3 linked regions of the Kluyveromyces lactis genome follow. Each later gene encodes a partner of the first gene's protein in a complex. Links are inferred from orthologs where the notes say so. Each region holds a gene or a part of one and is shown in the gene's direction. Other genes may lie near its edges. The genes, in order: CBR1, KTI11 and DPH1.

Region 1 (2,854 bases):
AAGGCGATCAGCTCGTCAGAATTGGAATCTGATTTCCAAATCATTAAAGTACCATTAAGAGTATCCGATCCTGCCGATAGTGGTATGTATGTGATTTCAGCTAATGAACTAGGTCTTGTCGATTCGAAAGATCATGTTAAACTTAACGTGGAATATCTAACAAAAATCATGGGGGATGATTATCCATTAGACGTTATGGATGTTCAGACTCAAATGAATGAGAAATGGACACTTTCTCAATGGAACGAGTACTATTCTCATACTAGCCCTTCCGATAGAGATCGTATTAGAAATGTTATATCCCTGGAGGTAAGCCATGTAGAAAGTTTCAAAGATGGGATACGACGTCCCAATGCTGTGAATAATAACGATTTGGTTGATATAGTTTGGAATTTTGGACGTACAGAGACCGACATCGAACGGCCGAAAGTTACCAAATACATATTAATGTCCGTGGGTAACGCATATACAGACTTTCATTTGGATTTTGCTGGAACTAGTGTCTATTATAATGTAATCTCGGGATCAAAGAAGTTCATCTTATTCCCACCGACAGATTACAACTTGAAGAAATACAGAGAATGGTGTGACAACGATAATCAGAATGACATTTTCTTAGGAGATCAGCTAGAAGCAGGTATCGCAATGGAATTGACCGAGGGTAATTTATTCATGATTCCGTGTGGATACATTCATGCCGTGTATACGCCTGAGGACTCGTTTATCGTTGGAGGTAATTTCCTAACATTAAGAGACATAACTACCCAACTAAATGTGGTAGAAATTGAACATCAGACAAAAGTTCCAAAAAAATTTACTTTCCCGCAATTTGAATCGGTTATGGGAAAGACATGTGAATGGCTATTGAACTCTGATCATATTCAATCGATATCATCGGAAGATATTGAGAACTTGGTCAAATACCTCTCGTCATCTAACATCAAATATAAACCAATCAATTATCAGAGCAAAAAAGAACTAATAACGGAGCTAAAGAATAAAATAATAAAATTTGAACACACTTAATCCTCAATATCTTAAGTACTATTATGCAGGGAAGCTAGCGCAGGTTACTGCACTCTATTCTGTCCATCCCATCATTCTTTCCTAAGTAGTTTTTTAGCCTTACCCTCTCTTTAGTGTGGTTTAAATGTTTCCTTTCTGAATGAAGGCCAACATGGAAAATAAGATTTTTTTTGGATGTGAGGATTCAATCTGATGAGCAAGGTACGATAGCATTGATCATTGGGCAATAAACGCTCTTATATTGTACCAGTTGTTATATTTGAAAAGATATAGTGTATACTTTAAAATAAGACGGTTAGCCTAACCTCAAATATGGTTCCTGGGAAGTTCATTTTCACTGCGACCTTTGTGTTACTGTGCACTATCATTGCCGTTGTTTTGGAATACCAATCAAAGAAGGATAAGCCAGTGCTAGATAAGGAGAAGTTACAGGAATTTCCATTGGTGGCAAAGACAGTGTTGACTCATAATACTGCTATTTACAGATTTGGTTTACCAAAGTCTACACAGGTATTAGGGCTTCCAATTGGTCAACATATTTCTGTTCAAGCAAACATCAATGGCAAGGATATTTTAAGGTCTTATACACCAACTTCGTTGGACTCGGACGCCGTCGGTCACTTTGAACTTTTAATTAAGTCCTACGAAAAGGGTAACATTTCAAAGCATTTTGCACAGCTCAACATTGGTGACAAAATTAAGGTACGTGGCCCAAAGGGTTTCTACCATTACCAACCTAACATGAATGAAGAAATCGGTATGATCGCTGGTGGTACTGGTATTGCTCCAATGTATCAAATTATGAAATCAATTTTTGCCAACGATTCCGATAAAACCAAGGTATCTTTAGTCTATGGTAATCAAACTGAGGAGGATATCCTTTTGAAGAAGGAATTGGACGCATTTGTTGAAAGAAAACCAGATCAATTCAAGGTTTATTACTTGTTAGATAAGGCTCCAGAAGCTTGGACTGGTGGTGTTGGGTATATCACCGTTGATACTATGAAAGAACGTCTTCCAGCTCCAGCTGAAGGCGTCCAACTTTTGGTGTGCGGTCCGCCTCCTATGGTTTCATCTATTAAGAGAAATGCTGTCACTTTAGGTTACGAGAAAGCTAAACCTATTTCTAAGATGGGAGACCAAATCTTTGTATTTTAAGACAATCAGAATACATATCGCTGGTTCAGTATTATGATGTAAGTAAAATCTTTATCCAACCTGTAAATTCATTATAAAAGACGGGAGAATGTCGGTAATTTTTTTTTTCTATATTGTATCATTACTTAAAAGACTCTAGCTCCGGCACCTATATCATCCAAACGTACTGTTAAGAGCCTATTAAACTATGTTAAAGAACATCTTTGTGCAAAAATGCCTATCACAAGAACATCATAAACTACTTCTTTCTATGGAAAATAGTTTCCTTTCTTTATTTTTTTCGGTCTATTGATTGATCTAATCAACATCTATAAAGACATTTGCTTGATTTGTTCCAACCTTTCATTCACTGCTGATTCAAAATTTTCATTCTGCGGAGAATCTAATAATTTTGCATGAATAGACTGAAGAGCTCTCACTGCATTGCTCTCATCAATGACACAAGAGATATTAATTTCATTAGCACCTTGAGAAATCATTTCAATATTAATATGTTGTTCAGCTAAGGTTGTAAACATAGTACCAGCAATACCAACAAATTGCTTCATCTGCTTACCGACCAGAGAGACAATTGCCATTTTCTTAATAACATCGACTGTACCTAGTCTCTTTAACTCTTCAACAGCACACCGTAAAGCCTTTAGGGAATCTGAATCAGGTACAGGAAGGG
Region 2 (2,150 bases), on another chromosome or scaffold:
ATACCCATTTTGCTTTACTGTAGATAAAAGCTTTAGTAAAAGATGTTAGTAAATTTTTCTTTCGTTTGATTGCCGTTAATTAGCTTTTGCTTGTACTTTCACAGAGTAGTTATATAAGATAACTTCAGATGCCACCAACGATGTTTTCTCTTTGAGTTAATTACTTCACAAATAATTTCGCCTTCTTGGTTGTATACTATCCCGTACTTCCCACCTTCGATATTAGAAAGCCGCTTCTTTACTCGTATGAATCTCCTCAGTTCGCTAGTTTTTTGCTACACCATAACGGACTTCCCACTGATTATTCCTTGGTAACTGTCATTCACCCTCAGTGATCTAAAACATTTTCTAATTCATTCCATCAATTCAAAACTCTTTCAAATATATCTAAACATGTAATCGCACTGTTCTCTCATTGTATTGCATCCGCTGGTTACTCCACAAAGCACAATAGTACCCACGTATAAAACATACTATTTGACCTGGCTTCTTGACCTCTTCTTGTATTTCAAGAACTATCCAATACAATAACTATAGAAGGTAACAGTATATAACAGTATACAACAATTTTGTAACTTTTCACTAGATGGAAATCAAAGTTGTTCTTTCGACAAAATGGACCACACTGCCGAGTATTGGACTGCCAGAGGGAACCAGCTCGCCCAGAGAAAGGGACAGAGAAAGCGTGAGAATGGCCAAAGGTGAGCTGGAGGAGAGACTCCTGGGGAAAGATTCTGCCTAGGTGGTAGATGGAATGTTGCTCTCTGGGCAGACGGGCAGGGATATCGACGGCAGCCAGAAACTGAATGAGTGGTGTGGGCCAGAGCATTCTGAGGCCAGAGGGGGTTTACACCGGTAGTGAGTGGCTTGGGACGGCCTGGCTAACCATTATGGTATTTGTCTGTTTTAAAAATACTTATTACCTTTTTAGGTATTAGTGAAAATAAATGAAATTGAATTATGTATGGGTGTAAAATATATGTCTGGGTTGTGATAGTCCCGAAATATCACGTGACTTCTTCAAAAGAACCAGTCCTTCTTTTCCCGGTTTTCTCAACAAGTTAAAAAGAAAAACTGAAACTTTTGACATGAAATGACAATTGAGTCAATCATTACGCTCATCGCATTATGTTTAATACCTATGTCTTCATACCCAGTGCATTCAATATTCTCTAACCTAAGGGTACGGAATTGGAATAAACTTTTGGTCAACCTGGTGCTGGCATATTGAAGAGAGAAGTGACTACTAGAAGTTAACTTAAAGAGAAAGAATTAATTATTAATAGTATTAGAACAATGTCCACTTACGATGAGGTTGAGATTGAGGATATGACTTTCGACCCAGATACACAGATATTTACGTATCCTTGTCCCTGTGGTGACAGGTTCCAAATTTCCATTGATGATATGTATGACGGAGAAGACATTGCAGTTTGTCCCAGTTGTTCGTTGATGATCCAGGTGGTTTTCGACAAGGAAGACTTGGTGGAATATTATGTGGAAGCAAATCTGGAACCACCGGGTAAAATTGCTGTAGCTGTGTAAAATATTTTTGCAGCATCACCCTCGTCATTTATCTGCATTAGTTTTGCATGGTTATACAGAGTGTGTTCTTTTAGTTTGTTTATGGTTTTCTCACCACTCTTCAAGCACCGCACTGTATATAATTTCATTCTAGGGATGATTTATCAATCCTCTGGCAAGCTCCACTATCACACTTCCATCCGCACTGGACAGTCATTAAATTCAGTTCTTACCACATCATGCATATCGTTCACAAGTCCGTACTATATACCCCGGATCGTATATATGTTCTCTGTTTTAAGCATTTTCTGTATTATCTATTGTTTCTCGTATTAAACTAAATTTCATTTAAAAAAAGCGTCAATTAAAAGAATTAGAACGGAGTTTACACAGACTTCCGCTACCATGACCCTTAACACAAGGATGCTTACCACTTCAAGCCTTTCTGGATAAATTCATACTGCTGTAACTCTTTTACCATGGCGGAAGAATTGTTAAATAAACACGATCCGAAGTTGGCATATGTGGTGAAATATAATCATGATTCACCAAACCCTAGGGAATTGGCTTCCCCTTTAGAGATGAAAAGAGTCGCTAGGCCGCTAAGACATATCCATTATGTGCCG
Region 3 (3,362 bases), about 2.2 Mb from region 1:
TAGCCAACTGCCATGCTTTGATACAGAGGTCATAGTTACGATGCAACGGATAGCTGAGAGCTCTTCTAATACCTGTTACTATGGTACCTTTGATTTGAGAGAAATGTATTAAAGACTCGGATAGAAGAATCTGTTGGTCCAACATTGAGATCTGTGGGGTCAATTTACCGATTGTCCATTGGCTTTCAGTTGTATGTTGTCCCTCATTTTCGATCTGCTCAAAAGTGTAAGAATATAATATTGATAATATCGTTAGATATTGGCTTTTAACGTCATTTATTAAGTACTTCTTTTTAGGAATGTGGTCTTGCATCTGAGTCTGTTCCGCTTCGGTGAACTCCACAGGAAAAGATACATTTCTTTCCTTCGATTCATTGTCTGACCTTTCGAACCACTGCTGATACCTTTCGCAAAGAGGAGGAAGGTACCCAAGCAATCTTTTTATGCCATTAATCTGGATTTCCTCTTCATCGCCCTGTTTTATGGTTATATATTCAGCAGCATAGTACTCTGGATCAAATTTCAAATTTTCCTTCTTCAATCTTTCCTTGACTCTGTTCTCGGGAGAAGTATGTTCAGGATCATCCAATTCGTTAATGTCATTGCCATTTGCAACGGACATAACAATATATCCTGTATAAAGATTATCGAAACCGTATTTCGTTGTTGGTGTATTATCTACTTGAACCTCTTGTTTGATTTCCCAATCAAAATGCTCTCCTTCTTCTCGAATATCAGCAATTGATTCTTTCTCATTACTAATTTCTTGAATCAACGGCCCATCTGTCACTTTAGGTTCATTCTTTGCTGCCAATAATTTGCTAGCGAGATCTAAGTCCTTGAACTCTTTACCTTTAACTGCCTTCAGAATCTTACAATTGATGCTCTCTTGTTTGGAATCATATTCCACTGTATTTAAAGTTTCATCCTCCACCAATTCATCTGATAATCTCAACCTCAAATAATACGGCGACAAATGGAAGATAAACATACAACCATCTATTACAACCTCTACACCAGCACTGTTAAACCTTATGCTTGACACCTTAATTTGTACATAAATGTATTCATCATCCTGAGTGACAGTAAATCTTGGAGTTATCATTAGGAACACTATACCGGTAAAATACGAAACTCCGGTACCAAGTTACTTCTTGTATAGTTTCTGAAATTAATGGGTGGTCAAATTAGCAATTCAGATAGTTATGTTTATAGCAACTAAAAAGGACATATAATCCCATCTCAGTGGCACATACCTTGACCTTTTAGAATTACAGTCATCAGAAATTACTTAGACGATTACAGAAAAGAAAGAAAAATTTCCAACTTTGGATATTTGAAAAGAATTACCAACAGATGAGATGAGATGAGTCGGTTTAGGTTTTACTGTTCCAGACACCATTTAACTGCAAGTGTTGTGCTCCAATTGCTAAATAGCGCCTTTTGTGATGACTATGGGTGAAGTTGAGAAAAAGCCTAGAAGAAGGTTTGTTGGTATCAAAAAAGCTGCAGAAGAAAGTGATCCCTCGGGATCAACCACTGAGCTAGTGAAGAAAATCAAGCCTAAGACTAACATTCGTCATGCTATTAATCAGATACCGCCGGAGCTTTTAAATGACGAAGAGTTAAATGCTGCTATCAAGCTTCTTCCCTCGAACTATAACTTTGAAATACATAAAACTGTATGGAACATTAGAAAGCACAAAGCAAAGCGTGTTGCTATTCAAATGCCTGAAGGGTTGCTCATATACTCTTTGGTGATAAGTGATATTTTGGAGCAGTTCTGTCAGTGTGAGATTGTGGTTATGGGCGATGTTTCTTATGGTGCATGCTGTATTGATGACTATACAGCAAGATCGTTGGATTGTGATTTCATTGTCCATTATGCACATTCCTGCTTAGTTCCGATCGATATTACTACTATCAAGGTACTTTACATCTTTGTCACTATCAATATTGATGAGACACATCTAATAAAGACGTTACAGAAGAACTTCCCAAGAGGTTCACGGATTGCTGCATTCGGAACAATTCAGTTTAATCCAACTATCCATAGTATGAAGGACAAATTGTTGCAGTCGGAGGAACACATGTTATATATCATCCCCCCTCAGATCAAACCACTTTCGAAGGGTGAAGTTCTTGGGTGTACTTCTGAAAGACTAAACAAGGAACAAATAGATGCGATGGTTTATGTTGGGGATGGTAGGTTTCATTTAGAATCGGCCATGATTCATAACCCTGAAATTCCTGCTTTCAGATATGATCCCTATAATAGAAGATTCACCAGAGAACGTTACGATCAGAAGCAATTGGTAGAGGTAAGAGCATCTGCCATTGATAAAGCTCGCAGTTCGAAGAAAGTTGGTTTGATACTTGGCGCGTTAGGTAGACAAGGTAATCTAGCAACAGTTGAAAATCTCGAAACTAAGCTCAAGGCTTCCGGAAGGACTGTAGTAAAGATTATTCTCAGCGAGATTTTCCCACAAAAGCTTGCAATGTTTGATGATATCGATGCCTTTGTTCAAGTTGCCTGCCCAAGGTTGTCCATTGATTGGGGGTATGCTTTCAATAAACCATTACTAACACCGTACGAAACTAACGTGATGCTTGAAAACGACCGGATGTTCAATGAGAAATATTACCCGATGGATTATTATCATATTAACGGATATGGTAGAGGTAAGGTCCCAAACCATGACGACGTAACTATCTAAGTAAATGCATTAATTATATCGAATTACAATCTGGGACATCACATTTGTTTATTTAATTATTTATCTTCAACACCTAGTAGGGTGGAAACTTCGTTAGTCGTAAAGTTTAATGTCGACATTATCATTTCTTCGTCTTCCGGATATATTTTGTTCAAAACGCTTTTGAACACTTTATAGAATTTGATAAAATTTCCGAAACAGGTGGACACAATGTCCTCTTCAACCGCTGGTGGCATCAAATTGAATAATTTTACATCTTGAAAATCAGAAACTGCTAATGGAAGATAGGTGTTCAATTTTTCGTGGATATTGTCGTGAATAACTGCTAATTTCATGATTGGGTTCTCAACCGCCGAAAGATACATGTCGTAATCAAGCTCATCTTGCACAGAAATAATTGGGAAAATCATGTTGAAGAGATTAAAGTACAATTCCATACCCGTTGATTCGAACAGATAGCTATTCATTGTTTCCTTTAACTTGGTAACGCATAATGTATACTGCGTTTCCAGTTTCGAAAAGACGCTTTTGCCGTAATCAGATGAAAAAATGGTGCTGTGAAAGGGACCTAGTTTTGATTTCACGAGATCAAAACTATTAATCTGTACGATAAGTAAATCAATTCTGGCTGACTTTTCCTTTTTA

Evidence for each region.
Region 2: CBR1 (region 1) and KTI11 share a complex: the UniProt entries of both Saccharomyces cerevisiae proteins name them as parts of the 2-(3-amino-3-carboxypropyl)histidine synthase complex. The link is inferred for Kluyveromyces lactis from reciprocal best matches to the Saccharomyces cerevisiae genes CBR1 and KTI11.
Region 3: CBR1 (region 1) and DPH1 share a complex: the UniProt entries of both Saccharomyces cerevisiae proteins name them as parts of the 2-(3-amino-3-carboxypropyl)histidine synthase complex. The link is inferred for Kluyveromyces lactis from reciprocal best matches to the Saccharomyces cerevisiae genes CBR1 and DPH1.

The regions. Positions count from the first base shown.
Region 1 is NC_006042.1:2,559,385-2,562,238, reverse strand, and holds CBR1 (cytochrome-b5 reductase), read left to right. Parts: upstream 1-1,338; coding exon 1,339-2,184; downstream 2,185-2,854. Other genes in the region: JHD1 ([Histone H3]-lysine-36 demethylase), read left to right, coding at 1-1,026; HOM3 (aspartate kinase), read right to left, coding at 2,493-2,854. UniProt on the Saccharomyces cerevisiae protein: NADH-dependent reductase for KTI11/DPH3 and cytochrome b5. Required for the first step of diphthamide biosynthesis, a post-translational modification of histidine which occurs in elongation factor 2.
Region 2 is NC_006041.1:1,816,836-1,818,985, reverse strand, and holds KTI11 (Kti11p), read left to right. Parts: upstream 1-1,296; coding exon 1,297-1,545; downstream 1,546-2,150. Other genes in the region: RPS8A (40S ribosomal protein eS8), read right to left, coding at 1-8; KLLA0_E20417g (uncharacterized protein), read left to right, coding at 2,004-2,150. UniProt on the Saccharomyces cerevisiae protein: Required for the first step of diphthamide biosynthesis, a post-translational modification of histidine which occurs in elongation factor 2.
Region 3 is NC_006042.1:373,142-376,503, forward strand, and holds DPH1 (2-(3-amino-3-carboxypropyl)histidine synthase), read left to right. Parts: upstream 1-1,448; coding exon 1,449-2,717; downstream 2,718-3,362. Other genes in the region: Hsp90 cochaperone SHQ1, read right to left, coding at 1-1,105; Golgi transport complex subunit COG6, read right to left, coding at 2,774-3,362. UniProt on the Saccharomyces cerevisiae protein: Catalyzes the first step of diphthamide biosynthesis, a post-translational modification of histidine which occurs in elongation factor 2.